Linked DNA regions of Lonchura striata. The main gene of each other region encodes a partner of the protein of the gene in region 4 in a complex. Links are inferred from orthologs where the notes say so. Each region holds a gene or a part of one and is shown on either strand. Other genes may lie near its edges.

Region 1 (7,538 bases), on a different chromosome or scaffold from region 4:
GAAAAACAAAACTGCTTTTGCAATTTATACCTGGTTAAATTTAATGGCCATTTCAAAAGTACTACAGTTACTAAGTGCTGCTTTCCAAATAGTCAATTCACAATTGGCTAGAAAGCACATAATTTAGAAGAGCAGAAAACTAAATAAATTTAAAAAATACAACAGATTCTATCACTTTAATCACTGACTAAAGACCACAGAAACATGGAAAAGTATCTTATAATTAGCTGAATAATTTCAACAAGCCCTCTAAAACTAATTAGAAATAAGAAATTAAATACTGAAGGGCTCTTAAAGCAAAAAATATGAGACAATATAGTACACAAAAGCAAAATGGAATAAGTGCATATCTAGTCTAAGTACTATTCTATTCTAGAATAGTACTATTCTATTTAAGTAGTCTAAGTAATAAGTTTCTGGTCAAAGGTTAAATAACCCATAGGTTGGTTAAAATACTAGTCTTACATATTTTTTTATTATAATGGAACAAACATCTTACCAAAGGCTAGGGTCGCCTCATGTTTACAAGCATGCCCTGTAAAATGAAGAATTATCAAAATTCACCAATGAATGCATAACTGTTTGTTTACTTAATCAGTGTCTACCCTGTTGTGGCAATAAAACTAAGCGATAAAGTCCTCTCATGACAGTGCTATTGTTTAATAGGCATTTCCAATTTAGTGCTTCATAGTCTTTGACATGCTTCTTTAAAGCAACTATCAGGCTTGTGTAAATATAGATCATTAATCAACAAGGATAAGAACAAGGCTGTTTACTTAGTGTAATCTCACCTTAGGAGAGATTTAATTGTATATCAAAGTTCAGCAACCACTGTGCCCCAGTCTGAGTAAGCTCAGCCATCATTAATTTTGTAAAATGCATTTTTGCCTGATCAAATTGGATCTTTTCCATGTTAGTAAATATAAGACAATCCAAGACTGACAAAAACACATACCTGGAAAGTGACATTCCAGCCAGCATGACAAAATAGCAAAACAAATTCATAAAGTCTAAACTTACAATTACTATACTTTCCTGAAAATAACCTAGCTTGTTCTTCTCCAATATTCTATTTATAAAGTGATTCTACATTAACCTCTTGCTCTTTTCACAGTATTTTACAATATTCATTGAGTTGCTATACTCTACATCTGTAATACAGGGATTTTATGCTAAACATGCCACGATAGTCACCATACACAAAACCCACTTTTACTGACCACTAATAAAAGATATAAATCAAACTCACATTACTATGAGCAGCACATACAGAATTTGCACTAAACAATGGGAAGTGAAAAAATTTCCTACCCAATTATAACTATTTAGTAAACTGAGCTGACAAAATATAATTGCACACTTAGGATTTTCCTGAACTAAATTCCTTGTTTTTCTTTTGTCGCAGTAAGTGAGCATAAACTTCAGTGTCTGTAAACAAGTAGAACATCAGGTCTTGTTTATTTCTCATCTTTTATATCACAGAGGGAAATCTTGGGTTTTACTAGTAGGCATCTAATTAAGCAACATGCAGTGACCATTACTCCTGAGATGTGAAAGAACTTCAGCTCAGAATTATACAGCAAAATTACAGAGATGAATGTGTTCCTGCTCACTATTGAAAAAATCTGACATCAAAAACCAATCTAGTTTTATTAATGAAAATTCAGTGTTTAAGTCCAGAAAACCAACAGACGAAATAAACACCTATGTAAAACCTAGTAAAAGTGCAGTAGTTTTCTACCAGTTTAGATGTGCCTGTAAAAACCTTATACTAATAAGAAAAGATGTTTTAAAAAGCTGGTGCAGCCCTCAGTTTTTTAATAGTAACATACCAGAAAGTTTTTGCTTCGTAGGAACTGTTAGGTTGCGGTTTTTACCCCAGAAATTTGGCACCTTCGGTGCAGAGAAAGTTGCAAATAGACTCTGATGGCAAAATTACTGACTTCAGTTCTATGTAAGGAAATACAGACGACTTTTATTGTTTGCTAACTTTCTGCTTTATCTTAGATGCTAATTATTAAAAACTGTTCTTAACAAGAGACCGCATTAAGTATTTGAATTTCCAATGTGACATTCTGCTTTGCCTGAAAGAAGATTTAAAAGATATAAAGGGACTTTCCGGCCCCACACCACAACTGGACTAACCGACGGAATTATTTAACGAGGATGTGATGCGCATCCAGATGCGCGCCCCGCATGCGAGGGAGGCATCCCCGCCTCGGAGCCGGGTGTCAGGCATGGAGAAGCACTGTGTATGTTCACTGCAGCTGCCCACGGACGTCACCCCAGTGAACCACAGAGCCCGGGAAAGGCGGGGGTGGGGTGGCGGAGGCGAAAGAACACCCATCCGGGCTTAGGGCATCCCGCGGCACTGCCCGTGCCTCCGCGCCGGGAGCGGACAGCGACAGCACTGAGGCGGCTCTAGGCCGCCGGTGCCGCCCGGCGACAGCGGCACTGCGGGGCCGCTCCGGGCACGCTCGCCGGCTGCGCCAGCCGCTCCCGCTCCCTCCCGCAGCGCGCCCGCGCACCCGGCCCGCGCTGGCCGCCGCCCGGCCCGATCCCGCTCCCAGCCCCGATCCCGCTCCCAGCCCGATCCCGCTCCCGCCCCTATCCCGCTCCCAGCCCGATCCCGCTCCCGCCCCTGCTCCCGCTCCCAGCCCAGCCCCGATCCCGATCCCGCCCCTATCCCGCTCCCAGCCCGGCCCCGGCCCAGATCCCGATCCCGCTCCCGCTCCCCGCCCGCGCGCGCCAACGGCCGCGGCCGTGCCCAGCCCCAGGCTGAGCCCCCCGCCCCGGGGCGGGCAGGGGAGCCGGGGGAGGGAGCAGCGGCGGGGAGGCGTTACCCAGCGCTACCCGCCCCCGGGGCCGTGCGCTGCGACGAGCGGCGGGGCCCGGCCCGGGGCGCGGCCCCGCTGCCCGCCGAGGGCAGCACTCACCCGGCCCCGTCCGCTCCCGCCGCGGCCGCGACGTGGCCCGGCGGCGGCCGCCCCGCCTCCCCCTTCCCTCCGCCAGTGCGCTCTTCCTTGGCCCCGCTCCCCCTCCGCAGCGCCGCGCGGGTGGTTCCGCCCAAAACAATCCCGGCTGCCAGGGAAACGGCGCGCTGGGGGCGCGGGGAACGGGGAAAAACAAACCAAACCAAAAACAAACAAACAGCTATGAAAAGCATTAGAAACGGGAGCCCTCGCACGGGTATTTCATCGTCCATTAAAAAAAAAACAAAACTGTCGAAACTACGTATTAGCTCTCGGAGTTCAGACTAACAAAAGTAGCTTGGCGAAGAATAAAGTCCCTGGGTAATGGGCTCTGTTGGGCTCAGGAGGGCGAGTGACAAGCGTTTGGAATGCACATAAGCTTTCTGCAAATAGTAGCACAAATTTATGTCCTCCAGCTATGCAGATACTGGAGAACTTCTGTTTGTTGCCTGATTTAATAGTTGATTTAAGCAGTTCTTTGGGGGATATTTTTCTTCCCTCTCAGGGATAATTACCTAATAAACTTGAGCATTTTTGTCATTGAAAGCCTGTATATTCAATTATTCTGTGTAAAAAATGATTAAAACTATAGATGTCAAAGGTTCCTCCTGCACTGGAAGATTTGAGAAATCAGTGCAAGGTTTTCCATGAACATGGTTAGTTTTTTTTCAGAAGTAAAGTTGAATAAAATTAGCCTTCGTTTGATAGCAATTTTCAGAAACTAGAGGTGAGCAAATGCTTGTGATGCTGAGTTTGTGACATAGTTCCCAAGCATTGCATCCCTCAAATTCTGTCAATGAATTACACTGGCTTCCTAAAGAATGACCTTCTGAAACCTGGCTTGCCTGTTCTTTCCTTATGTGTTGTTATTGACAGTCACTAATGTCTCTTTTTGTACTTACCTGTCCTCTGCTTTCTCAAAAGCTTACGTGCACTCAACTGATAGGTAGGGATATTTCTGGTTTTGTTAGGCAGGTCTCCTGGGTTGCCTTGGCATAACAAACATAAACCAACTCCTCAGCATTCGTGTGCTTCCCTTTATCCTTAGTGAATCTCCATTCTTTATCTCCCTGTCCTTCGTAGTGCCCCAAAGTCCATGAAATAATGGCCTTGAACAACCTGGACTCGCTTTCAGGTTGGCCTTGCATTGAACAAGAGATTGGATCAGAAATCCAGATAGATGTTTCCTTTCTAACTAACTTCCTGGCATCTGAGAGGCTCAGTTGTGGCAAACTCAAAACCAGTCATTTTTAATCATTGACATGGAAAGCGGATTTGATATTGTCTAATTTGACCAGCAGTAATAAAGCTATAAAGCCTTCTAAGTAAGCCTGGCAGGAGACATCCACAGGTTTTCTATTACTACCAAAAGTTTGTGCCAAGTTTCCAGGAGCAGTTGCTTCAAAAGAATGTCTTTAAGATTTCTGTGATCATTACACCTTTGACAAACATGAGGTATTTGTGCCATCTGAGATCTATAAGCAAGTAGTGGTCAAGGCCAGTTTCCGTGCCAGGGGAGAATAAATCTAACCTCTTTAGCTGACTTTTTTAGTTGGGTTTTTGGGGGGTAGAGGCAGATGACAATGCTGCAGTTCTTACTCATAAATAATAGATAGAACAAGTCTATGTTAAATTTGTTCCTTTCATCCTGGACTAGTTAAAAATTACTATTCTGGAGTTAAGAATGTTCCATATAGAAAGCTACTGTAAGCCAAGGATTGACATGCTGATGTAAAGAAGACTTTTTCACCTCATGTTACTTCTTACAATGTCCTATGTCTTACAGTTCTTCTGATGTACTTTGCATAGTGCAAAACATGACCTGCTGATGCTAAGCAGTTCCTGAGGCTGCTGATCACACTTTCATTACAGCTAAAGATGTTGCAATGTGTATTCCTGTGTCAGTGTCACAAATATTTTTTTTCCATTTCCTGACTGTGAAATTTAAAAAAAATATTTGGACTTTGCTCATTATTGCAAAAGCAATGCAAGTCAGGAGCACCTAAAGAATGCAGGGGAACCTGTACAGCCCCTAAAATAACAGGATGAGTTTTGTCTGTACTTCGATGGCCTGTGGAACAGACACCAAAGGAAAGAAAGCATACTCCAAACACAACATATCCTGTTCATAAGCAGAGACAAGTGTGCAATTCCTATGCTGCTAGAAGCAGAAAACCAAGACTTTTGAAAAAAATTGAACATGTGTGCATGGAGTTTTTCAATGGCTTCAAAAGCATGTGTTCCCTGTGTTCACCTGGTATTTCAGTTGCAGGGGCTTGTACAGAGAAAGCTTTCCATTATCTTACATTTGGGATGTGTGGGAAGTAGAAAGGGACACGAACTAAAGTGACATTGTGGGTTACAGGTGAACAGTTTGAAGATACCAGATGCATTCTGAAACTCTCGCAGGAATTCCAGGACGATGAAGAATGGATCAAGGTTCTTGTCAGAGCCCACCTTTCAGCAAAAGGTAAAATCTGTCACATGCAGGGACAGCCTCGAGGTGTCACTCGAGTGTACAAAATGGAAACGATCTGGGGCTGGATAACTCAGAGAATGCTAACTGTGCAGTGATATGTTGGCAGAAGTTAATTGTTTAACTCATCAGTGGGTTATTTTCTCTTGATAGCAAAACATAATAGGGTTTCTGCTATTTGGTATTCTGAGCAAACAATCTAATTTGACATAAGGTGAAGCTTGAGTTGGGACAACAGAAAGAAGAAATTTACATATATTACATTGGTAAAAAAAAAGAAGGGTCAAAACTTTAAAGCCAATAATCAATTTCTTTAATAGAAAACAATTCTGCAATATGTTCTGCATCCTGAGATGATTGCATTTTGCATGCTAAATTTCTAGTGGTTTAAATGCAAGTCATAAGAAATAACTATGCTGGAAAGTTGGTGTGCCTCAATACTGGCAGTAGAAATGCCTGTAGGTGTTTATTTGGCAGTCTAAATTTCTGTGGCTGCTTCTCAGAGATCTGCAAGTCTTTGAACTGAAAAGCTTTCCCTGTTAGTTCTTAGTTCTGTCCTTGACTTGTCTCCTAGTCCTGAAGTGGGTGCCCTTAGTTCATGGGGGCAAGTAAGCAGTCCTTTCTCAGAAAAGAGTTCTCAGAAGAATGTTCTTTATCCTCACTGACTTTGTTGAGCCACATTTACCTTCACAAAGTTCTCTCCAGGGTAGATACAAAACCAATTGTGACCACGGATTTTATTTTGGTTGTGTATTATCAACTTCTTGTGAGTGGCAGTTCTCCCAAAGCTATAATTCTGTAATACAGAAAAGTTTTTTCACAGCCTACTACAGTTTTTATTTATAGGCCCAAAGCAAAAAAAATCTTACATTAAAATTCAGCAAAACATTTAAAGAAACCTGGTTTCTTCTTCCTTTTTTGATCATGTTTTCAGTTTAAGACTTTAAAATGTTTTAAGGAAATCAAGTCTTAGTCATCATATTAGTGCAGAGACTTGAAGCAAGGCTGGAATTATGAAGTGGCACAATCCTAGGGATCTGGTATTAACAGGGAATGTAACACTCCTAAATTTTTAAAAACTAATTTTATTTTCCATTTTAAATTGGCTGAAGTTATTAGGAGTGTCACGTGAACAGTCCCTCATATTTCAATATGTTTAACGTACTAGAATGTCTATTTACTTTGCAACAGGAGGAAAAGAAGGTAACCTCATTTTATTTCACTGACAGAAAACTAGGTTTCAGAAGCCATAGGTTCAAATTGTGTGTCCAGACAATGAGGTCACAAACCCTCGGAAGACAAATTTCATTGTCTTCTCTATGAGTGTTTCTTGAACAGCGTCTCCTGAGGTATAGCTAAGTATCTATTATCTCTATAAATCTCAGTTTTTCTGTCGTCAGAACAAGAATTCTAAGTCTTTTTGAAAGCATTTTATCATTTGGAAAACCTTTGTGCTCTCAGGACACTTCAGGTACTTTTCCACAGGGTGGTAGTGTAACAGCACATGGCATTAAGTCTAGTTTTTGTGAAGTGTTCTGAAAGCATTGGATATTGGAGCTAGAATTTGTCTGTAACTAAGTGTAGCATTGTTGCTTTTTTAACTTTTCAAAATACAATTGTTCCCCTTGTACGGTTAGTGCATCTTTGCATATGTTTTAATTATTTTCCTTTCGTGTTGTTTATTAACTATGCAATAAGCTTTAATAAACAGCAACAGATCCCCTGAATATACCTATCATATCCTGTGTTTAACAATATTTATTTGTAGACTAATTTCCAAAATCTCTTTTTTTCAGAAAGGTATTTATTCTTTGAAATGTACTTGTTTTGTTTCAGAATGTAATTGTTGATGAGGTTCATCAGATATCTTTTCTTTCTTCTAAAGGCTTGGTTTTTTAATCAAGTCTGTTTGGAGACTTTAGTTTGTAGTCCTTCAACATGTTCTTATAACTCTTTTTTTTTTAAAGTCTTCAAGCCTATCTTTTTAAACATTACTGTTTATCTCACTGGGATATTTTATTCTCCAGTATTTTATTAAGGTTCATTTATTTCCCTGCTTCCACTGACATATTGAGTGAGAATCACTATTG
Region 2 (7,962 bases), on a different chromosome or scaffold from region 4:
CCAAACCCCCCCAGGACCCCCAAAAACTCCACCCAGGACCCCCCAAACCCCCCCAAACCCCCCCCAGGACCCCCCAAATCCCCCCAGGACCCCCAGCCCCCTCCCCCCGTACCTGCCAGAGCCTTCCCGGGGGGCTCCGAGTTTGGGGGGTCCTTGCAGGGCACCCGCAGGGGAGGGGGGACCAAACTCTGGGGGGGACAGGGGCAGGGGTCACCCCAAAAATACCCAAATTGGGGAGGGGTCACCCCAAAAAATACCCAAAATTGGGGAGGGGTCACCCCAAAAAAACCCCAAATTGGGGAGGGGGACACGGGCAGGGGTCACCCCAAAAATACCCAAAATTGGGGAGGGGGACACGGGCAGGGGTCACCCCAAAAATACCCAAAAAAAACCCAAATTGGGGAGGGGGACACGGGCAGGGGTCACCCCAAAAATACCCAAATTGGGGAGGGGTCACCCCAAAAAAATCCCAAATTGGGGAGGGGGACACGGGCAGGGGTCACCCCAAAAACCCCAAATTGGGGAGGGGTCACCCCAAAAATACCCAAAATTGGGGAGGGGGACACGGGCAGGGGTCACCCCAAAAATACCCAAAATTGGGGAGGGGTCACCCCAAAAATACCCAAATTTGGGGAGGGGGACACGGGCAGGGGTCACCCCAAAAATACCCAAAATTGGGGAGGGGGACACGGGCAGGGGTCACCCCAAAAATACCCAAAATTGGGGAGGGGGACACGGGCAGGGGTCACCCCAAAAATCCCAAATTGGGGAGGGGTCACCCCAAAAACCCCAAATTGGGGAGGGGGACGGGGGGTCTCACCTTGGTCAGGCCGGGGGCCACGTTCTCCTTCTGAGCCATCCTGGGGAGCACGGAGGGTCAGGGGGACCCCAAAATCCGGCAGGGACCCCCAAAATCCAGTGGGGACCCCCCAAAATCCAGCAGGGACCCCCCAAAATCCAGCGGGGACCCCCAAAATCCAGCAGAGAACCCCCAAAATCCACTGGGGACACCCCAAAATCCATCGGGGACCCCCCAAAATCCAGCAGAGAACCCCCAAAATCCAGCGGGGACCCCCAAAATCCATTGGGGACCCCCAAAATCCAGCAGGGACCCCCAAAATCCAGCGGGGACCCCCCAAAATCCAGCAGGGACCCCCTCTGGATCCCCCAGTTCCCTTCAGGACCCCCCAAATCCCATCAGGACCCCCAAATTTTTCTCATAAATCCCCCAGGACCCCCCAATTCCCCCTCAAGACCCCCCAAATCTCCCTGCAGGACCCCCAAATTCCCCCCAGAAATCCCCTCAGGACCCCCAAATTCCCCCTCAGCACCCCCAAATCTCCCTGCAGGACCCCCAAATTCCCCTCAAGAACCCCTCAGGACCCCCAAATACCCCTCAGGACCCCCAAATACCCCTCAGGACCCCCAAATACCCCCCAGGACCCCCAAATACCCACTCAGGACCCCCCAATACCCTCAGAAATCCCCTCAGGACCCCCTAATTCCCCTCAAAGCCCCCCAATTCCCCCCAATAACCTCTCAGGACCCCCCAATTCCCTCAATATCTCCTCAGGGTGCCCCAAATCCCTTCAGAAACCCCCTCAGAACCCCCCAGTTCCACTCAGAACCCCCCAATTTCCCTTAGAAATCCCCTCAGCACCCCCAAATCCCCCCTCAGCACCCCCAATTCCCCCTCAGGACCCCCAATTCCCCCTCAGGACCCCCAAATCCCCCCTCAGCACCCCCAAATTCCCCTCAAGAACCCCTCAGGACCCCCTAATTCCCCTCAGAAACCCCCCAGTTCTCCTCAGGACCCCCCAGTACCCCCCTAGGACCCCCCAATTCCCTCAATATCTCCTCAGGATTTCCAAAATCCCCTCAGAAATCCCCTCAGGACCCCCTAATTCCCCCCAGAACCCCCCAATTCCCCCCAATAACCTCTCAGGACCCCCCAGTTCCCTCAATATCTCCTCAGGGTGCCCCAATTCCCTTCAGAAACCCCCTCAGAACCCCCCAAATGCACTCAGAACCCCCCAGTTCCCTCAGAAATCCCTCCAGAACCCCCAAATCCCCCCTCAGGACCCCCTAAATCCCCTCAGAACCCCTCAGGACCCCCTAATTCCCCCTCAGGACCCCCCAATTCCCCTCAAGAACCCCTCAGGACCCCCTAATTCCCCTCAGCACCCCCCAATTCCCCACAATAACCTCTCAGGACCCCCCAATTCCCCTCAATATCCCCTCAGGACCCCCCAATCCCCCCTCGGGACCCCTTAATTCCCCTCCAAACTCCCCAATCCCCCTCAGAAACCCCCTCAGTTCCACTCAGAACCCCCCAACTCCCTCGATATCTCCTCAGAATCCCCCAATTTCCCTTAGGAGCCCCCTCAGGACCCCCTAAATCCCCCCGGGACCCCCCAAATCCCCCCCAAATCCCCCCAAAATCGCCCCCAATTCCCGCCCCTCACTCGCCGCCCGCCGCCGCCGCCGCCGCTTCAAATTTCCCCCGCGCGCTCCCATTGGCCGCCGCCCGCTCGCGCCGCGCTCCCATTGGTCCGCGCCGCCTTCATCCCCGCCCCCCAGGACGCGCGCCGCGCTCCCATTGGTGAGCGCCCCACGAATCCCCGCCTCCCCAGCGCGCGCTGCGCGCCCATTGGTCGATGCCACGCGAAGCCACGCCCCCCCACCGGCGCGCCTTCACCCCGCCTCCCCCACTCGGCCGTTCCGCCCACCCGCGCGTGACTCGCCGCTGATTGGTCGCTGCCGGAGAGGTGAACGGCCAATCAGCGCGGGGAACGCGCGGTCACGTGGGGAGGCGGCCATTTTGTGCGCGGCCGTTCAGCCCGGCAACAGGGGCGGGGCCAAGAGGGGCGGCGGCCAATCAGAGAGCGGGGGGGGCGCGGGGGACCAGTACGGACCAGTATGCACCAGTATAAACCAGTATAGACCAGTATGGGCTGTTATGGATCAGTTCAGACCATTAGGGACAAGCATAAACCGGTGTGAGGCACTGCGGTTTAATACAGACCAGTATAAACCAGTATGAACCAGTACAAGCCAGTATAAACCAGTACAGGCCTCTGTGACCCAGCCCAGCCCAGTATAACCCAGTATAAACCAGTACAGGCCTCTATGACCCAGCTCAGCCCAGTATAACCCAGTCCAGCCCAGCATAACCCAATATAAACCAATCTAGCCCAGTATAACCCAGTATAAACCAGTATAACCCAGTATAAACCAGTACAGGCCTCTGTGACCCAGCCCAGCCCAGTATAACCCAGTATAAACCAGTACAGGCCTCTATGACCCAGCCCAGCCCAGTATATCCCAGTATAAACCAGTACAGGCCTCTATGACCCAGCCCAGCCCAGTATATCCCAGTATAAACCAGTACAGGCCTCTATGACCCAGCCCAGCCCAGTATAACCCAGTATAAACCAGTACAGGCCTCTATGACCCAGCCCAGCCCAGTATATCCCAGTATAAACTAGTACAGGCCTCTGTGACCCAGCACAGTCCAGTATAACCCAGTCCAGCCCAGTATAACCCAGCATAACCCAGTATAACCCAATATAAACCAATCTAGCCCAGTATAACCCAGTATAAACCAGTATAACCCAGTATAAACCAGTACAGGCCTCTATGACCCAGCCCAGCCCAGTATAAACCAGTATAAACCAGTACAGGCCTCTATGACCCAGCCCAGCCCAGTATAACCCAGTCCAGCCCAGTATAAACCAGTCCAGCCCAGTTTAAACCAGTATGCTCCAGTATATCCCAGTATAACCCAATATAAACCAGTCCAGCCCAGTATATCCAAGTATAGCCCAGTATAACCCAGTATATCCCAGTATAGCCCAGTATATCCCAGTATATTTCAGTATAACCCAGTATGTCCCAGTATAACCCAGTATAGCCCAGTATAACCCAGTATAGCCCAGTATAACCCAGTATAACCCAGTACATCCCAGTATAACCCAGTATAGCCCAGTATAGCCCAGTATAACCCAGTATAACCCAGTACATCCCAGTATAACCCAGTACATCCCAGTATAACCCAGTATAACCCAGTATATCCCAGTATAACCAGTACATCCCAGTATAACCCCATATATCCAAATATAACCCAGTATAACCCAGTACAACCCAGTATAACCCAGTATATTTCAGTATATCCCAGTTTAACGCAGTGTAACCCAGTACATCCCAGTATATCCCAGTATAACCCAGTATTTCCCAGTATTTCCCAGTATATCCCAGTATAACCCAGTCCAGCCCAGCATCCCCACCCCAATCTCCGGGAGGGGGCGTGGCCACTTTCCGGTGGGCGTGGCCTATCAAGTGGGCGTGGCCTTGGTGGGCGTGGCCTGTGTGACGGGCAAGCTTTGGGCGCGGCGGTGGGCGTGGCCAGGGCGATGGGCGTGGCCAGGGCGGTGGGCGTGACCAGGGCGGTGGGCGTGGCCAGGGGCGGTGGGCGTGGCCAGGGCGGTGGGCGTGGCCTGCTCCGTTGCCGCGGTAACAGCGCCGCGCGGGGCGGGGGGAGGGGAGGAAAACGCGGGAATTCCGGGGTGGGGGAGGGGTCCCGGGGGAGGGGGAGGGGTCCCTAGGGTGGGGGAAGGGTCCCCAGGGTGGGGGAGGGGTCTCGGAGGTCCCGTTCTGGCCATTTGGTGGGGGGGAGGGAGAGCGCGAGGTGGGGGAGGGGCTAAAAAAGCGGGGGGAGGGGAATGAGGGGGTCCCATGGGTGGGGGAGGGAAATGAGGGGCACCCATGGGTGGGGGAGGGGAATGAGGGGGTCCCATGGGTGGGGGAGGGAAATGAGGGGCACCCATGGGTGGGGGAGGGGAAGGAGGGGGTCCCATGGGTGGGGGAGGGGAAGGAGGGGCTAAAAGGGTGGGGGAGGTGCCAAAGGGGAGGGGGAGGGGCGGTCTAAGCCCCTCCCCCTCCCCAGGCCCCGCCCCCTGCCTCGTTCCAGCCAATGGCGTTGCTGCTGCCCGGGCGGTTCCTGGCGATGGTGGCGCACCTGGGCATGCTAATGAGCATGGGCGGGGTCAGTGCATGCTAATGAGCATGGGCGGGGTCAGTGTATGCTAATGAGCATGGGCAGTGTCAGTGCATGCTAATGAGCATGGGCGGGGTCAGTGTATGCTAATGAGCATGGGCGGGGTCAGTGTATGCTAATGAGCATGGGCGGGGTCAGTGTATGCTAATGAGCATGGGCGGGGTCAGTGTATGCTAATGAGCATGGGCGGGGTCAGTGTATGCTAATGAGCATGGGCGGGGTCAGTGTATGCTAATGAGCATGGGCGGGGTCAGTGCATGCTAATGAGCATGGGCGGGGTCAGTGTATGCTAATGAGCATGGGCGGGGTCAGTGCATGCTAATGAGCATGTGCGGTGTCAGTGCATGCTAATGAGCATGGGCGGGGTCAGTGTATGCTAATGAGCACGGGCGGGGTCAGTGTATGCTAATGAGCATGGGCGGGGTCAGTGTATGCTAATGAGCATGGGCGGGGTCAGTGCATGCTAATGAGCATGTGCGGTGTCAGTGCATGCTAATGAGCATGGGCGGGGTCAGTGTATGCTAATGAGCATGGGCGGGGTCAGTGTGTGCTAATGAGCATGGGCGGGGTCACTGTATGCTAATGAGAATGGGCGGGGTCAGTGTATGCTAATGAGCATGGGCGGGGTCAGTGTATGCTAATGAGCATGTGCGGTGTCAGTGCATGCTAATGAGCATGGGCGGGGTCAGTGTATGCTAATGAGCATGGGCGGGGTCAGTGTATGCTAATGAGCATGGGCGGGGTCAGTGCATGCTATTGAGCATGGGCGGGGTCAGTGTATGCTAATGAGCATGGGCGGGGTCCGTGCATGCTAATGAGCATGGGCGGGGTCCGTGCATGCTAATGAGCATGGGCGGGGGCAGTGTATGCTAATGAGGGTGGGCGTGTCTTGTCCTGACCCCGCCCCTTTCTCCAGGCCCCGCCCACGCTGCCCTCGGGGGAGACAGAGCCGGGGTGAGTGAGACCAGTTCAGACCAGTACAAACCAGTATAGACCAGTGTAAACCAATATAGACCAGTACAGACCAGTATAAACCAGTATAAACAATTATAGACCAGTATAAACCAGTATAGACCAGTATAAACCAGTATAAACAATTATAGACCAGTATAAACCAGTATAGACCTGTATAAACCAGTATAGGCCAGTAAAAACCAGTACAGACCAGTATAGACCAGTACAAACCAGTATAAACCAGTATAAACAATTATAACCAGTATAAACCAGTATAGACCAGTATAAACTAGTACAGACCAGTATAAACAATTATAGACCAGTATAAACCAGTACAGACCAGTGCAGACCAGTATAGACCAGTATAAACAATTATAACCAGTATAAACCAGTATAAACCAGTATAAACCAGTACAGACCAGTATGGACCAGTGCTCCCACAAGGGTCTCTGGGGGGAATTTTTTGGGAATTTTCCGGGGGAATTTTGGGGAATTTCGGGAGGATTTTGGGATTTTTTGGGGGGATTTTGGGGTTATTTTGGGGGGAATTTTGGGGATTTTGGGGTTTCTCTCACCCCTTCTCCCCGCAGGTTCTGGGCGGGATTTTTGGGGTTATTTTGGGATATTTTGGGGGATTTTTGGGGTTATTTTGGGATATTTTGGGGGGATTTTTGGGGTTATTTTGGGATATTTTGGGGGATTTTTGGGTTTCTCTCACCCCTTCTCCCGCAGGTTCTGGGGGGATTTTGGGGTTATTTTGGGATATTTTGGGGGGATTTTGGGGTTTCTCTCACCCCTTCTCCCGCAGGTTCTGGGGGGGATTTTTGGGGTTATTTTGGGATATTTTGGGGGATTTTTGGGTTATTTTGGGATATTTTGGGGGATTTTTGGGTTTCTCTCACCCCTTCTCCCGCAGGTTCTGGGGGGAATTTTGGGGTTATTTTGGGATATTTTGGGGGGATTTTTGGGGTTATTTTGGGATATTTTGGGGGGATTTTTGGGGTTATTTTGGGATATTTTGGGGGGATTTTTGGGGTTATTTTGGGATATTTTGGGGGATTTTTGGGTTTCTCTCACCCCTTCTCCCGCAGGTTCTGGGGGGGATTTTTGGGGTTATTTTGGGATATTTTGGGGTTTTTCTCACCCCTTCTCCCCGCAGGTTCTGGGGGGGATTTTTGGGGTTATTTTGGGATATTTTGGGGGATTTTGGGGTTATTTTGGGATATTTTCGGGGATTTTTGGGTTATTTTGGGATATTTTGGGGGATTTTGGGGTTTCTCTCACCCCTTCTCCCCGCAGGTTCTGGGCGGGATTTTTGGGGTTATTTTGGGATATTTTGGGGGGATTTTTGGGGTTTTTTTGGGGATATTTTGGGGGGATTTTGGGGTTATTTTGGGATATTTTGGGGGATTTTTGGGGTTATTTTGGGATATTTTGGGGGGATTTTTGGGGTTATTTTGGGATATTTTGGGGGGATTTTGGGGTTATTTTGGGATATTTTGGGGGGATTTTGGGGTTTCTCTCACCCCTTCTCCCCGCAGGTTCTGGGGGGGATTTTTGGGGTTTTTTTGGGATATTTTGGGGGGATTTTTGGGGTTATTTTGGGATATTTTGGGGGGATTTTTGGGTTTTTCTCACCCCTTCTCCCGCAGGTTCTGGGGGGGATTTTTGGGGTTATTTTGGGATATTTTGGGGGATTTTGGGGTTATTTTGGGATATTTTGGGGGGATTTTTGGGGTTATTTTGGGATATTTTGGGGGGATTTTTGGGTTTCTCTCACCCCTTCTCCCGCAGGTTCTGGGGGGGATTTTTGGGGTTATTTTGGGATATTTTGGGGGATTTTTGGGGTTATTTTGGGATATTTTGGGGGGATTTTTGGGGTTATTTTGGGATATTTTGGGGGGATTTTTGGGGATATTTTGGGGGGATTTTGGGGTTTCTCTCACCCCTTC
Region 3 (7,200 bases), on a different chromosome or scaffold from region 4:
CCCCCCAAAATCCATTCCTTTCCCCCGGCCCCGTCCTTTCCCCAAATCCGTTCTTTTTCCCCAAACCCCATTTTTTTGCTTTTGCCCAAAATCGCCTTTTTTGGCCCCAGGAGCAGCTGCTGTTCTGCGACGACTGCGACCGCGGCTACCACATGTACTGCCTGAGCCCGCCCATGGCCGAGCCCCCCGAGGGTACTTTGGGGCGTTTTGGGCCTTTTTGGGCATTTTGGGGCATTTTTGAGCATTTTGGGGCATTTTGGGAGAAATTTTGGGAGAAATTTGGGAGGATTTTGGGGGGTTTGGAGGGATTTTGGGGCATTTTTGGGGGGATTTGTGGGGGTTTCGTGGGGGTTTTGGAGGGAATTTGGGGAATATTTTGGGGGGTTTTGGAGGGAATTTGGGGGATTTTGGATCATTTTGGGGATTTTGGGGCATTTTGGGAGGATTTTGGGGGATTTTGGGGAATATTTTGAGAGATTTTGGATAAGATTTTGGGGGATTTTTGGGGGTTTCGTGGGGGTTTTGGAGGGATTTTGGGGAATATTTTGGGGGGTTTTGCAGGGAATTTGGGGGATTTTGGGGGATTTTGGGGATTTTGGGGCATTTTGGGAGGATTTTGGGGGGATTTTGGGGGGATTTTTGGGGTTTTGAGGGGGTTTTGGTGGGATTTTGGGGAATATTTTGGGGGGTTTTGCAGGGAATTTGGGGGATTTTGGGGATTTTGGGGATTTTGGGAGGATTTTGGGAGGATTTTGGGGGGATTTTTGGGGGATTTTTGGGGGGATTTTTGGGGTTTTGCGGGGGTTTTGGTGGGATTTTGGGGACTATTTTGGTTGGGATTTTGGGGGGGATTTGGGGAATTTTGGGATTTTGGAGAATATTTATGGGGGATTTTGGAGAAATTTGGGAGGATTTTGGGGGGGTTTGGAGGGATTTTGGGGGGGAATTTGGGAGATTTTGGGTCATTCTTTGGGGGATTTTTTTGGGATTTTGGGAGATTTTTGAGAGGAATTTGGGGGAATTTTGGAAGGATTTGGGAGATTTTGGGGGTTTTGGAGGGATTTTGGGGGTTTTTTTTGGAGGGAATTTAGGGAATTTTGGAAGGATTTGGGAGATTTTGGAGATTTTGGGGGATTTTTTGGAAGTTTTGTGGGGGTTTTGGAGGGATTTTGGGTTTTTTTTTGGAGGGAATTTAGGGAATTTTGGAAGGATTTGGGAGGTTTTGGGGAGTATTTGGGGAGATTTTGGGGAAGATTTTGGGGGATTTTAGGGGAATTTGGGTGATTTTGGGGCATTTAGGGTTTTTTGGGGGGATTTTGGAGAAGATTTTGGGAAAATTTGGGGGGATTTGGGAATTTTTGGGGAGAATTTGGGGAGATTTATGGGAGGATTTTGGAGAATATTTTGGGGGATTTTAAGGGAATTTGGGGGATTTGGGGGATGTTTGGGGATTTTTGGGCAGATTTTGGAGAAATTTTGGGAGAAATCTGGGAGAATTTGGGAGAATTTGGGAGAATTTGGGTGGGTTGGGGGGGGCTTGGAGGCATTTAGGGGCATTTTGGGGGGATTTTGGGAGATTTTGGGGATTTTGGGGATTTTAGGGGATTTTTGGGGGGATTTGGGAAGTCTTTTAGGGATTTTGGGGGATTTTTTTGAGATTTTGGGGATTTTTGGGGGGATTTTGGGGGAATTTTGGAGATTTTGGGAGAAATTTGGAGGGATTTTGGGAGGGTTTGGAGGCGTTTTGGGGCATTTTAGGGATGGAATTTGGGAGATTTTGGGTCATTATTTGGGGGATTTTGGGGATTTTTTTGGGATTTTGGGGGGATTTGGGGGATTTTGGGGGATTTTTGGGGGGATTTGGGGATTTTGGGGAGAATTTGGGGGGATATTTGAGGGATATTTGCCAATTTCGGGGGGAGTTTTTGGGATATTTTTTGGATACTTTTGGGGAATATTTACCGATTTCGGGGGGATATTTGGGGGAATTTTGGGGCTATTTTTGGGGAATATTTACCAATTTTTGGGGGATATTTGGGGGAGTTTTTGGGCTATTTTTGGGGAATATTTACCGATTTCGGGGGGATATTTGGGGGAGTTTTGGGGCTATTTTTGGGGAATATTTACCAATTTTTGGGGGATATTTGGGGGAGTTTTTGGGCTATTTTTGGGGAATATTTACCGATTTCGGGGGGATATTTGGGGGAGTTTTGGGGCTATTTTTGGGAGATGTTTACCAATTTCGGGGGGATATTTGGGGGAGTTTTTGGGCTATTTTTGGGGAATATTTACTGATTTCGGGGGGATATTTGGGAGAATTTTGGGGCTATTTTTGGGGAATATTTACCAATTTTGGGGGGATATTTGGGGGAGTTTTTGGGCTATTTTTGGGGAATATTTACCGATTTTGGGGGGGATATTTGGGGCCGTTCCGGGGCCATTTTTGGGTTGAAATTCGGCGTTTTGGGGCAGGGAGCTGGAGCTGCCACCTGTGCCTGCGGCAGCTGAAGGAAAAGGCCTCGGCCTTCATCACCCTCCCCTAGGGGGGGCCGCCCCCCAAAAACCCCCAAAAACCCCCAAAAACCCCCAAAACCCCCGACCCCCCCCCAAAAACCCGACAAAAGCCATAACCGAGCTGGGGGGGGGGAGGGGAGGTTTTGGGGAGGGGGCTCCCAAATTTTGGGGGGGGGGGGGGGCGCCGAGTGTTGCATGATGGGAAATTTTGGGGGTCCCTCCCCCCCCTCCCGCGCCCCCCTCCCCTCCCCCCCCCGCGGGCGGATTTTGGGGGGGTTTTTGGGGGGGGTCGGGAGGGGGGGTGGGGGAGGGGAGGGGGTTGGGGGTCTCTCCCCCCCCCCAACCCCTCCCCAAATTTTGGGGGGCCCCCCCCCGTGGTGTCGTGGTCGGTTCTGTGCTGTGGTGTCCGTGCAGTAAATTTGGGGTGACCCCCCCGTGACCTCTGACCCCGTCTGGGGGGGGGGAGGGAATTTGGGGAGGGGGAGGGGCGGGAATTTGAAGGGGAATAAAATTTTGGGGGGCAGGGGCAGAATTGGGGGAGGGGCAGAATTTGGGGGGAGGGGCAGGAATTTGGGAAAGGAGGAATTTGGGGAGGGGAGGGAATTTGGGGAGAGGAGCGAGAATTTGGGGAGGGGGAGGGGTGGGAATTTGGGGCAGGAATTTGGGGAGGGGGAGGGGCGGGATTTGAGGGGAAGGAAAAATTTGGGGGGGAGGGGCAGAATTTGGGGGAAGGAGGAATTTGGGGAGGGGGAGGGGCGGGAATTTGGGGGAGGGGGTTGAAATCTAGGAGAGGGAATCCCAAAATTTGGAGGGAAAAGTAAAATTGAGGGGAGGGACATGAAATTTGGGGTTTTTCCTCAGTTTCGGTGTTTTTTCCCCAATTTTGGTGTTTTCCCCCCAATTTCTGGGTTTTTCTCAGTTTTGGGGATTTCCTCCCCAATTTCTGGGTTTTTTCCCCCTAATTTTGGGGGATTTATCCCCAATTTTAGATTTTTCCCCCCAGTATTGGGTTTCTTCCCCCAATTTTGAGTTTTCTCCCAATTTTGATTTTTTCCCCCCAATTTTGGAGGCTTTTCCCCCCATTTTTGTTTCCCCCCCCAATTTTTTGGTTTCTTTCCCCAATTTCTGGGGTTTTCCCCAAAGTTTTGGGGTTTTCCCCCAATTTTGGTTTTCCCTCCCCCCAAGTTTGTAGTTCTTACCCCAATTCCTGGGTTTCCCCCCAATTTTGGGGTTTTTCCCCCAGTTTTGGGGTTTTTGCCCCAATTTTGGGGTTTTCTCCCAAATTTCTGTTTTTTTCCCCAATTCTAGTTTCTCCCCTCCAGTTTTGCAGTTTCCCCCTCCAGTTTCTGGGTTTTTCCCCCAGTTTTGGGTTTTTCCTCCCAATTTTTGGATTTCCCCCGAATTTTTGGATTTTCCCCCAATTTTGGTTTTTTCCCCCACTTTGGGGCACCCCAAGATGGCGGCGGTACACACAAGATGGCGGCGCCGCCCTCAAGATGGCGTCCCCCTACTCTGTAACGCCCAAGATGGCGGCGGCCGTACGGCAAACTCTGCCTCACACGCATGCGCAGTGATAACGCCGCTCTTTGTGGGCGTGGCCTGACCCGCATTGACCAATCAGCGCCGGCCCGGCGTTACCGTGGCAACGCAATGCGGCAGCGCCGCCCGCGCATGCGCAGTGGCGGCGCGGGCAGGGGGCGGGTGAGCGCCGCGCGGGCGGAATTTTGGGGGGAATTGTGGAAATTTTGGGGAATTTTGGGGGGAATTGTGGCGATTTTGGGGATTTTTGGGGGGAATTTGGGGCGGGGGACGGAGGGGATGGGTGGAGATGAGGGAGGGACGGGCGGGGATGGCGGGAGGGGAGAACGGGGCGGTTTTGGGGGGGATTTTTTGGGATTTTTTGGGATTTTTTTGGGGGGATTTTTGGGGTGAATCCGGCGGGTTTCGGGTCCCGCAGCCCATGGCGGAGCTGCACCTCTTCGGGCAGATCGAGAGCGGCTGCGGCTTCTCCGAGCGGCGCCTCTTCTGCAAGTGGGGGCTGCACGCCGGTGAGCGCGGCGGGGTGGGGGTCTGGGGGGATTTTGGGGATTTTTGGGGAATTTTGGGGAATTTGGGGGAATTTGGGGGATTTTGGGAGGGATTTGGGGGAGTTGGGAGGAATTTCGGGGAGTTTTGGGGGAGTTTTAGGGGGATTTGGGGATTTTTTTGGAGGATTTTGGGGGGATTTCGAAGGGATTTGGGGAGATTTTGGGAGGAATTTGGGGGATTTTGGGAGGAATTTCGGGAGGTAAGGGGTGGGTTTTGGGAATTTGGAGGGGAGATTTGGGGATTTTTGGAGGATTTTGGGGGGTTTTGGGGATTTTGAAGGAGATTTTGGGGGGATTTTAGGGGGATTTGGGGGGTTTGGGGGATTTTGAAGGAGATTTTGGGGGAATTTCGGGAGGTTTTGGGGGGATTTTAGGGGGAGATTTGGGGATTTTTGGAGGATTTGGGGCGGATTTGGGGGTTTTGGGTGGAATTTGGGGGATTTTGGGGGAGTTGGGAGGAATTTCGGGGGGTTTTGGGGGCACTTTGGGGATTTTAGGGGGATTTGGGGGAGGGTTTGGGGGAGATTTTGGGGGTCTTGGGGAGATTTGGGGGGATTTTGGGAGGAATTTGGGGATTTTGGGAGGGATTTTGGGGGATTTTGGGAGGTAGTGGGTGGATTTTGGGGATTTGGGTGGGAAATTCGGGTTTGTTTGGAGGATTTTGGGGGGATTTGGGGGAGGGTTTTGAGGAGATTTGGGGTTTTTGAAGGAGATTTGGGGATTTTGGGAGGAATTTGGGGGATTTCTGGTGGGATTTGGGAGATTTTGGGGGGATTTGGGAGATTTTGGGGGATTTTGGGGGGTCTGGGGGATTTTAGGGAATTTGGGAGGAATTTTGGGGGGATTTTAGGGGTTTTGGGGGAGAGATTTGGGGATCTTTTAGAGGATTTTTGGGATTTTGGAGATTTTGGGGGATTTGGGGGGATTTTGAGGGGAACTGGGGGAATTTGGAAGATTTTGGAGGGATTTTGGTGGGATTTGGGGAGATTTGGGGACATTTGAGGAGTTCTGGGCAGATTTTGGGGGGATATTGGGGAGATTTGGGGGTTCCGGGGTGATTTTGGGGGGACCTGGGGCTTTGGGGCCATTTGGGAGAATTTTTGGTGGTTTTCGATGATTTTTGGGTTATTTTAGGTGATTTGGGGATCATTTTGGGGTGATTTTGGTTAATTTTTAGGGTGATTTGAGGTTATTTAAGAGGATTTTGGTGTCCCAGGTGATTTTGGGGTGATTTGGGATGATTTTGGGGGATTTCGGGGGTTTTGGGGTATCCTAGGTGATTTTGGGGGGATTTTGTCGTGATTTTTGGGGTGATTTTGGGGTGATTTAGTCTGATTTTGGGACATTTCAGGCTGATTTTGGGATATTTCAGGGTGATTTTGGGACATTTCGGGCTGATTTTGGGACATTTTGGGCTGATTTTGGGAAATTTTGGGCTGATTTTGGGGTGATTTTCTCTGATTTTGGGGTGATTTTGGCTGATTTTGGGCCGTTTCGGGTACTGGCGCCACCTGGACCCTCCTGGCTGATTTTGGGGTGATTTGGGGCCATTTTGGGTTGCTTTTGGGATATTTTGGGGTCATTTTCCCTAATTTTGGGCCACTCCGTGCTGCAGGCTCCGCCTGGACGCTGCTGGCTGATTTTGGGGTGATTTTGGGACATTTTGGGGTGATTTTCCCTGATTTTGGGCCGCTCCATGCTGCAGGCGCCGCCTGGACGCTGCTGGCTGATTTTGGGGTGATTTTGGGGTGATTTTGGGACATTTTGGGCTGATTTTGGGCCGTTCTGGGCGCAGGCTCCGCCTGGACGCTGCTGGCTGATTTTGGGGTGATTTTGGGCTGATTTTGGGACATTTTGGGCTGATTTTGGGCCGTTCTGGGCGCAGGCTCCGCCTGGACGCTGCTGGCTGATTTTGGGGTGATTTTGGGGTGATTTTGGGACATTTTGGGCTGATTTTGGGCCGTTCTGGGCGCAGGCTCCGCCTGGACGCTGCTGGCTGATTTTGGGGTGATTTTGGGACATTTTGGGCTGATTTTGGGCCGTTCTGGGCGCAGGCTCCGCCTGGACGCTGCTGGCCGGGGCGGGCGCGGGGCAGACCCAGCTCGACGACCCCCAGGGGGGCGACGCCGCCCAGTGGAGCCACCCCCTGGACCTGCACCTGGGGACACGCGGCCTGCAGGGTGCGGGGACACCCGTGGGGACATCGGGGACACTGGGGGGACATTGGGGACACTGGGGACAGTGGGGACATTGGGGACACTGGGGACATTGGGGGGATTGGGGGCACTGGGGGGATTGGGGACATTGGGGACACTGGGGACATTGGGGACATTGGGGGGATTGGGGACATTGGGGACATTGGGGACATTGGGGACATCGGGGACACTGTCAGGGCCATGGGTGTTCAGGGAGGACACTGGTGGTGTCAGGGTCCCCAGGTGTGTCCCCAGTGTCCCCAGTGTCCCCCCAGTGTCCCTGATGTCCCCAATCCCCCCAATGTCCCCATGTCCCCCCAATGTCCCCATGTCCCCAATGTCCCCAGTGTCCCCAATCTCCCCAATGTCCCCAATCCCCCCAGTGTCCCCAATGTCCCCAATCC
Region 4 (6,999 bases):
GAATCACACTCGGATGAGAAAACCCAGGCCCTGGAAGTCTTTTTAAGTTGAAATAACCCAAATCCAGGAGAAACCACCCCGATTTTCCCAAGCCCCACGAGGTGGGAGCACTCGGCGGGAGAGCTCCGGGTTTTTTTTTACTTACCGCCACAGATTTTTAGTTTCTTTCCAAATAGTGGAGAGGGGGGAAAAGATTCCCCCCCAAATTGCAGAGCAAATCCCTGGAAGCCCCGGCGAGGCGCCGCCCCTCCTGCTCGCAGTGATTAGATTTGTCTTTGGATAGGTTGGAATTGTGTAATAAACTCAGATGACGTTGTCAGTCTTTTATACAGTGCTCCTGTTGCCTTCCTACGGTGGGATTTGGGATAATGAGAGAATGGGAGGGATTTGGGGAGGTCTGTGCACCCGTTGTCCCTCACCCTCTTCCTCCTCCAATGGGCTCCTGTGCTTCCCAAACTGGCTCTGAGGTGCTGGAAGCACCTGAACATTCCCAGGCAACGAGTAAAAATAAATATTTATTGGAAAATAGTGAATTATTCTGGAAGGTCGTAGAAAAAAAAAAGGATTCTTCATACCTTGAGCTGGCTCAAGCTCTGAGGAGTCCAAGTGGAGTGGAGAGTGGGAAAGGTGGGAAGGATAGGCCCAGGGGAGAGTGAGTGAAGTGGGAAGTGGGAAGAGGGAGGAATGAATCCATGTGGCAGCAGGTCCCTGGTGAAGTGGGAAGTAGGAAAAATGGGAGGGATGTGTCCAGGAGGCACCAGATGAAATGGTCAGTGGGAAGGGTGGGATCATCCCCATTCCCGGGGCTGGGAAGTGGAGCTGGCACGGGTGATGCTTCCCTGTGTCCCTGGGCCGTGTCCTCAGTAGGGATCCATGCTGTGGAAAAGACAGAGACAGGGATGTGTGGGTCCCAAACCAACCTGGCAGCTGCTGCGCCAGCTCCCCCAGTTCCCAGCATGCGGCACCTGGAGAAGGAGAGCAGTGCCAGGAAGCCCAGAAGCAGCTCCAGGCCGTAGAAGAGGAGCAGGATGGCGCTCAGGAACGCTTCCAGGCGCAGGGAATATGTCTGGAGCAGCAGGTAGTACACAGCCAGCACAGCCGCCGGCACTGTAAGCGCCAGGCTGAGGGACAGCGGCACCTTCCGCTGGCACAGGTTCCCCTTGGAGCCTGTGGAACACAGAGCTGGGATCAGAACATGGGAGGGTTTTGGGTGGGGAATTAAATGTCCCGTTCCCGTGGGCAGGAACACCTTCATCTAGCCCAGGCTGCTGCATGCCCCATTCCAACCTGAACCTCCAGGGATGTCTTCGGGGGTGTCCCAGGACCCTGCACTCCCTGTGGAGCCTCTGGCATTCAGGGGCACTCACCGAAGAAGATGCGTGTGGCCTCAATGCCGAGGTAGAGGAGGAGCAGCACCACGTCCAGCACCAAGTTGTAGACGGGATAGGGCAGGAGCAGCACTGCCGGAAAAGCACCGCCCTCAGCATCGCATTCCTGCCCACCCCGGCGGGATGGGGAACAGCTCTGGAGCGAAGCACTCACCTTTGTACACGAACACGAACGCTTCCAGGAGAAAATACGTGGCGCAGTACCAGCCGTTGAGGAAGAGCAGGACCTGCAGCGGAGCCGAGGAGCGATGGCGGCCTGAGGGGACACGGGGCGGCCGTGAGGGGGGGGGGGAGAGCACGGGGCGGGCAGGGCAGCGCGGCCCCCGGAGCCCTGCAGCGCCTTGCCCGCCCCCTTAGCCCATTCCCAGCGCTGCTCCCAGCCCGAGCTCCTCCCGGTAGCCCCCGCTGCCCTCCGGTAGCTCCCGTTTCCCCCCCGGTCCCGCTCCCACCCCTGGGCGCCATCTTCCATCTCCATGGGGACGGCCGCCGCCGCGCTCGCCCGCGCGGGGGCGCTGCGGGCGGGGCCGCGGGGCGGGCGCGCGGGGCGGCGGGGCGGGCGCGCGGGGCCGCGGGGCGGGCGCGCGGGGCGGGCGCGCGGGGCGGCGGGGCGGGCGCGCGGGGCGGGCGCGCGGGGCCGCGGGGCGGGCGCGCGGGGCGGCGGGGCGGGCGCGCGCGGCCGCTCGGTCCCCGCCGCTCCCGGCGGTGCGCGCGCCGCTCCCGCCGCACCGCTCCGTGGGCGGAGCGCCGCGCGGGTTCGCGTCCCCTCCCTCCTAAACCCGCCCGCTCGTATCCGCTGGGAGAAGAATCCCACACCGGAACACGGGAACGGCCCCGTTCGAACTCCGCCCGCCAAGCGCAGCGCCGAGCCGGGTTTCAATGAAAGGAGTGCAGCCGTGACACCGGGTGGGCGCACACACCCGGGAGCCTCCGGAAACCACATCCGATTTATTCCTTTAGGGTTTCCATTAACATTCCAGTGCCAACCAAGGCTGTGGCACGCACGGACGCCCCACAAGCGTCCCGCTGACTTCCAGAATCCCAAGGACTGCTCCCTAGAGAAAGGATGAGCCAGAAGTGACCCCGGCAGAGCCTGTGGAGTGCAAGGAGACTCCAGGGGATCCTGGGGATCCATCAGCCACGGAAGTGGGCAAATTCCTTGCGGAGCCAGAGTGAATCCTGGTAGAAGAGGGGGTCTCCCAGGTGCACAGCTGTCCGCTTGTAGAAGTAGCAGTAAAGCACGGCCGCTGCAGGGAATTTCAGGATGAGAGAGGGCCCCCAGCATCCCCAAAGGATGTGGGATCCCACCCTGATCCCTGGAGTCCTTACCCAGCCTCTGGAAAACGAACAGGGTCTGAAGGCCTTCAGTCCAGATGAAGCGGCTGGAGTCACGCCAGCGCAGGTTCTGAGGGGGTTGGAAAACTGGGAATAACCCCTGGAGCAGTTTTGTTGAGCCCTCCCAGACCCCTCACCCCATTCCAAAGGTTCTGAGCGGGATGGAGGGACATCAAGCTAGGAGTAACACCTGGAGAAGTTTGGGAATCCCCCTACTCTAAGGTTAAGCAGCTCAGGGGATTTAGGCATTGAGCCCGGACCTATTCCGGCTTCAGACTGCAGATCCCTGCAAATCCCTGCAAATCCCTTTCCTGGACGGCGTGGGCAGCGCTGGAGCAGCTGCTGTGGCTCCTGACCCCTCACAACATTCCCTGTGCTCCGGGGCAGCAGGATGGAGGGAACTTCAGGAAGTGTCCAGGGGATGGGAACTGCTCCGTTGGGAAGGAGCTAGGAAGGAGTTTATTCAGGAAAGAAAAGGGGAAGGTGCTGCCAGGACAGAGCCAGGAGCTGCAGGAAGGGAGTGGGCTGCCCCCAGGTATAGGGACTGATCCCAGAAAAACCAGGAGCTGCTAGCACAGGCTTTCTCTGGGGAAAGAGGATTTTCTGATGGGTCACAGCCCTTAGGGAATGAGCTGGGATGGGGCTGGGATTGGGCAGGACACTTCCAGCCTGATGCCAACCACAGTGTCATGGAATGGGACATCTTCCATGGGGCACCTTCCAGGGGGAGACCATGAGAAAGGACTGTGGGAAGCTGGGGGTCATGGAAAAATCCCTTGGGAGAATCCAGCAGCTGTGCCCACGCCACCCTACCATAATCCAGATGTGGAAGGAGATGCTGAGTGCCAGGTAGGCTGCAGAGAGCAGGATGGTTCCCTTGAATTTATGGAAGAGGAGGTTGACCAATCCCGCCTGGAAAACGTAGGTGTTGAAGAACATGAGGAAGATGATGATGACGTTGAAGACGATGGCGATGTCCTGGATGCTGCCGGGAGAACAGAGGGACCGTGGGCTCCTGGGCCTCCTGGATCTGCCGCCCCGCCTTGCCCGTACTCACATGAAGAGGACGAGCTGCACGGCCGGAGCTGTGCGCAGCAGCTCCGAGAAGGAATTCACAAAGAGGTCGTAGGAAAGCAGCAGGAACTGCAGGAACAGCACCAGGCTGTAGTTGCTGGGCTGGAGCATCCTCCTTCCTGGGGCTTGGAGCCCTCAGCCCCAGCATTCCCAACGGATCATGGCGCTGAGGGGGCTCAGCAGGGCCTCTCCCGACGTCCCAAACCTGGAGGGGGAAGACGGGGATTGGGATGGATGCCATAAATCAGGGAAACCCAATGAGCTGTGTCCTCTCTCTCCTCTGGTGTCTTCCTTCCCCTTGAAATCCACCCCCATCCCCATGTGAGGAAATCCAGGGATGAGGGAGACGTGCAGTCCCAAGAAGCAGTGTCCAAGCAGGTTATTTCTGGCTGTTCTCAGCTCCATGGGCAGTTCTGAGCAGGTTTGGGCATGTTCCACTCTGGGCACAGGGAGAGGAGTGAGGAGAGACAGACGGGAAGTTTTGGACACCTGAGCAGGTACGGTCCTTGTGGGACACATATCCCACAGGGGGAACAGCCCCCTCAGGGATCATCCTGGCTGAAGAGGGACGGAGGGGACAGGGATCCCCCGTGTCCTGGCAGGAAAAGGGCTGTGCTGGGAGCTGAATTCCCTGAGGGGGAGACATGGTGACAGACGGGGGTGAAGGGGCTGGAAAGGGAGGAAAGTGGTTGGAAATGCGGGGAAAGAAGGCTGGACATGGGAGCGAGAAACTGATGGACACGAGGGGGGAAAGAGTTGGATATGGGGATTAAGAAATCACTCTCTGCCCCTCCAGATCCGCGTCACTCCGCCCCTCCTCACAGCCACCACCGCGGATCCCCCGCGCCCCCTCTCGCCGCCCTCTCCCCCCGTTCGTGGCCCCCTCCCCTCTCCGGGGTCCACCCCCCGACACGCCCAAAGCCCTCTGGGTGCGGAGGTCCCGGTGCCGGGGGTGCCGCCGGGTCCCCGCCGTGCCCCCGCCCCGGGCGCTCACCCGCCGCCGCCATCTTGGTCCCCATGGAAACGGCCGCCAGAGCCGGAAGTGGAGCCGGAAGTGGCGGCTGGAGGCCCCGCGGGGCCGCTCTGGCCGCCGCGCCTCTCTGTGGCGCCGCATTGGGGCGGGCGGGGAAACCATAGAGATGAGCGGGCAGAGCGGCGCCCGCCAAGATGGCGGCGCCCAGTGAGGAGGAGGGGGCGGTGGGGCGCAGGTACAGCCCCGGGGCTGGGAGCGCTGGTGGGCGGCTCCGGGGCTGGAGGGGCTGAGGGACCTCGTGGTCTGGGCTTTGGGTGGTGTCAGGGCCGGGCGTTTTGGTCCAGGTCCAGGTTTGGGCGGGGCTGTGGAGCCACGTGTTCCCAGATTTCGGGGAGCCGTGGCACCGAGTGTGCCAGATTTGGGAAATCCGTGAGTCTTTGTGTCCCGGAGATATCACAGATTTTGGGGAACCATAGGGCCGTGTGTCTCCACCCCTTTCCTGCCTCTATGTCCTGTGAGGCAGCTGATTTGAGGGTGTCGGGACAGCCCCGGTCCCCAGAGGGGACAGAAATAGCCAATTCTGGGGGCACATGCAAATCGCATAGAAATGAGAGCGATGGGGTTCCTGCCAAGGGGACCATGACAGCTGACACCAGGAGCTCCTCACTGCCATTCCCGGGGTGCTGTGCCCTGCTCTGCATGTCCTGTTCCATCCCTGGCCTCCTTCCCAGTCCAGGGCACAGCTGGACTGTGATCACCCCCTCAGGGTTCCCAGTTCCCCTTTCCACGGTTTCTCCTGGTGATGTTGGAGAGCCCCAAAAGGCACCTCAATCATCCCCAGGCGCCACCATCCTGGATCCATCCCTGCCACCATAACCAGGCTGGGAAGCTGCTGGGCCACCATCCGTGGCTGGGAGGCAGCTCCATCGCCGTCACCTTCCCCAGGCTGTCAAACAGCTGTCCCCCACACCCTTCGGGACTCCCAGTTCCCCTTTCCGTGGCTCCTCCCTGGGACCGCATCCGGAGCCTGAGCCGGCTCCTCACTCGCCCACAGGTGCCACCAGCGCTCCGCGGCCATGCTGGACGTGCCCTTCTTGCCCTTCTGTGCCTTCCTGGGAACGCTGGGATTGCTCTGCGTGGCCATGGTGGGCTCCTGGTGCCAGCACTGGCGCGGGGGCTTTTCCCTGGACGGCAGCTCCCGGACATTCAACTGGCACCCCGTGCTGATGGTGACGGGATTGGTGGTGCTCTACGGCGCAGGTGAGCAAAGGGAGCGCGGGGATCCCGCCACAGCTCCTTCCTGACCTTGTTCTCCCCCTCACAGCTGCCCTGGTTTACCGCATTCCCTACACATGGAGTGGCCCCAAGCTTCCCTGGAAGGTGCTGCACGGCAGCTTGGCTTTGGGGGCGTTCATCCTGACCGTGCTGGGGCTGTCGGCCGTGTTCTGCTTCCACAACTCCCAAGGGACGCCCAACATGTACTCGCTGCACAGCTGGATGGGGCTGGGAACTGTCCTGCTCTTCTCCTGCCAGGTGGGAATCCCTCCTGGATGCCCCCCATCCCTCCAGCATCCCGAGTTTTCCACCCTCACCTTTTCTTCCCACAGTGGGTGGCGGGTTTTGGAGCATTCCTGCTTCCCTGGGCTCCCACCTGGCTGCGGGCACTCTACAAGCCCATCCACGTTTTCTTCGGCTCCACCATCCTCTTGTTGTCCGTGGCTTCCTGTGTGTCAGGAATCAACGAGAAGCTTTTCTTCAGCCTGTGAGAGTCAGAGCTGGGGGGTGGCTTGGGAAGATCCCTCACAGGGATAGGGGGGGCTCAGGATGTGGATTGGGGCTGGATTTGGGAGTGACCAGCGCAGAGCAAAGGGAACTGAGCACTTCCTTAGGTGTGTGGCTCCCTGCACAGTTCCCTGCAAGGTTTGGGAGGGGTTTCAGGAATATTCAGAACATTCCCAGCCTCTGTTTCTCCGCTCCAGGAAGAACGGGACAATGCAGTACAAGCTCCTGCCGGCTGAGGCTGTGTTTGCCAACACCCTGGGACTCCTCATCCTCATTTTTGGAGTGCTGGTGGTGGCTGCCCTGGCCAGGCCCAGCTGGAAGCGCCCAGATTCCGACTCCCCAGATTCCCGGCAGGTACAGGACACGCTGGGTGGATTTGGGAAGCCCCAGCACAGTTCCAAGGGTGGGGGAAGGATTGAGGGATCCCGGCTCATCCCTGTCTCTCCCACA

Evidence for each region.
Region 1: TMEM216 (region 4) and AHI1 share a complex: the UniProt entries of both Homo sapiens proteins name them as parts of the tectonic-like complex. The link is inferred for Lonchura striata from reciprocal best matches to the Homo sapiens genes TMEM216 and AHI1.
Region 2: TMEM216 (region 4) and TMEM107 share a complex: the UniProt entries of both Homo sapiens proteins name them as parts of the tectonic-like complex. The link is inferred for Lonchura striata from reciprocal best matches to the Homo sapiens genes TMEM216 and TMEM107.
Region 3: TMEM216 (region 4) and B9D2 share a complex: the UniProt entries of both Homo sapiens proteins name them as parts of the tectonic-like complex. The link is inferred for Lonchura striata from reciprocal best matches to the Homo sapiens genes TMEM216 and B9D2.

What each region holds. Positions count from the first base shown.
Region 1 is NC_134605.1:58,103,625-58,111,162, reverse strand, and holds the start of AHI1 (jouberin), read right to left. Parts: upstream 3,005-7,538; 5' UTR 2,937-3,004; intron 2,433-2,936; exon of another isoform or gene 956-2,432; intron 536-955; 5' UTR 500-535; intron 1-499. UniProt on the Homo sapiens protein: Involved in vesicle trafficking and required for ciliogenesis, formation of primary non-motile cilium, and recruitment of RAB8A to the basal body of primary cilium.
Region 2 is NC_134636.1:1,519,379-1,527,340, forward strand, and holds the start of TMEM107 (transmembrane protein 107), read left to right. Parts: upstream 1-4,950; 5' UTR 4,951-4,972; coding exon 4,973-5,044; intron 5,045-5,972; coding exon 5,973-6,010; intron 6,011-7,962. Other genes in the region: aurora kinase C, read right to left, coding at 113-188, 821-860, 2,466-2,548. UniProt on the Homo sapiens protein: Plays a role in cilia formation and embryonic patterning. Requires for normal Sonic hedgehog (Shh) signaling in the neural tube and acts in combination with GLI2 and GLI3 to pattern ventral and intermediate neuronal cell types.
Region 3 is NC_134633.1:4,806,573-4,813,772, reverse strand, and holds the start of B9D2 (B9 domain-containing protein 2), read left to right. Parts: upstream 1-4,194; 5' UTR 4,195-4,215; intron 4,216-4,471; 5' UTR 4,472-4,474; coding exon 4,475-4,562; intron 4,563-6,655; coding exon 6,656-6,781; intron 6,782-7,200. Other genes in the region: zinc finger protein neuro-d4, read left to right, coding at 111-192, 2,473-2,543. UniProt on the Homo sapiens protein: Component of the tectonic-like complex, a complex localized at the transition zone of primary cilia and acting as a barrier that prevents diffusion of transmembrane proteins between the cilia and plasma membranes.
Region 4 is NC_134608.1:53,696,351-53,703,349, forward strand, and holds TMEM216 (transmembrane protein 216), read right to left. Parts: upstream 2,329-6,999; coding exon 2,202-2,328; intron 1,901-2,201; exon of another isoform or gene 1,851-1,900; coding exon of another isoform or gene 1,838-1,850; intron 1,645-1,837; coding exon 1,543-1,644; intron 1,461-1,542; coding exon 1,368-1,460; intron 1,168-1,367; coding exon 966-1,167; intron 877-965; coding exon 861-876; 3' UTR 505-860; downstream 1-504. Other genes in the region: TMEM138 (transmembrane protein 138), read right to left, coding at 2,520-2,632, 2,715-2,790, 3,534-3,705, 3,778-3,905; lysosomal membrane ascorbate-dependent ferrireductase CYB561A3, read left to right, coding at 4,962-5,002, 5,822-6,027, 6,092-6,300, 6,375-6,529, 6,747-6,903. UniProt on the Homo sapiens protein: Part of the tectonic-like complex which is required for tissue-specific ciliogenesis and may regulate ciliary membrane composition.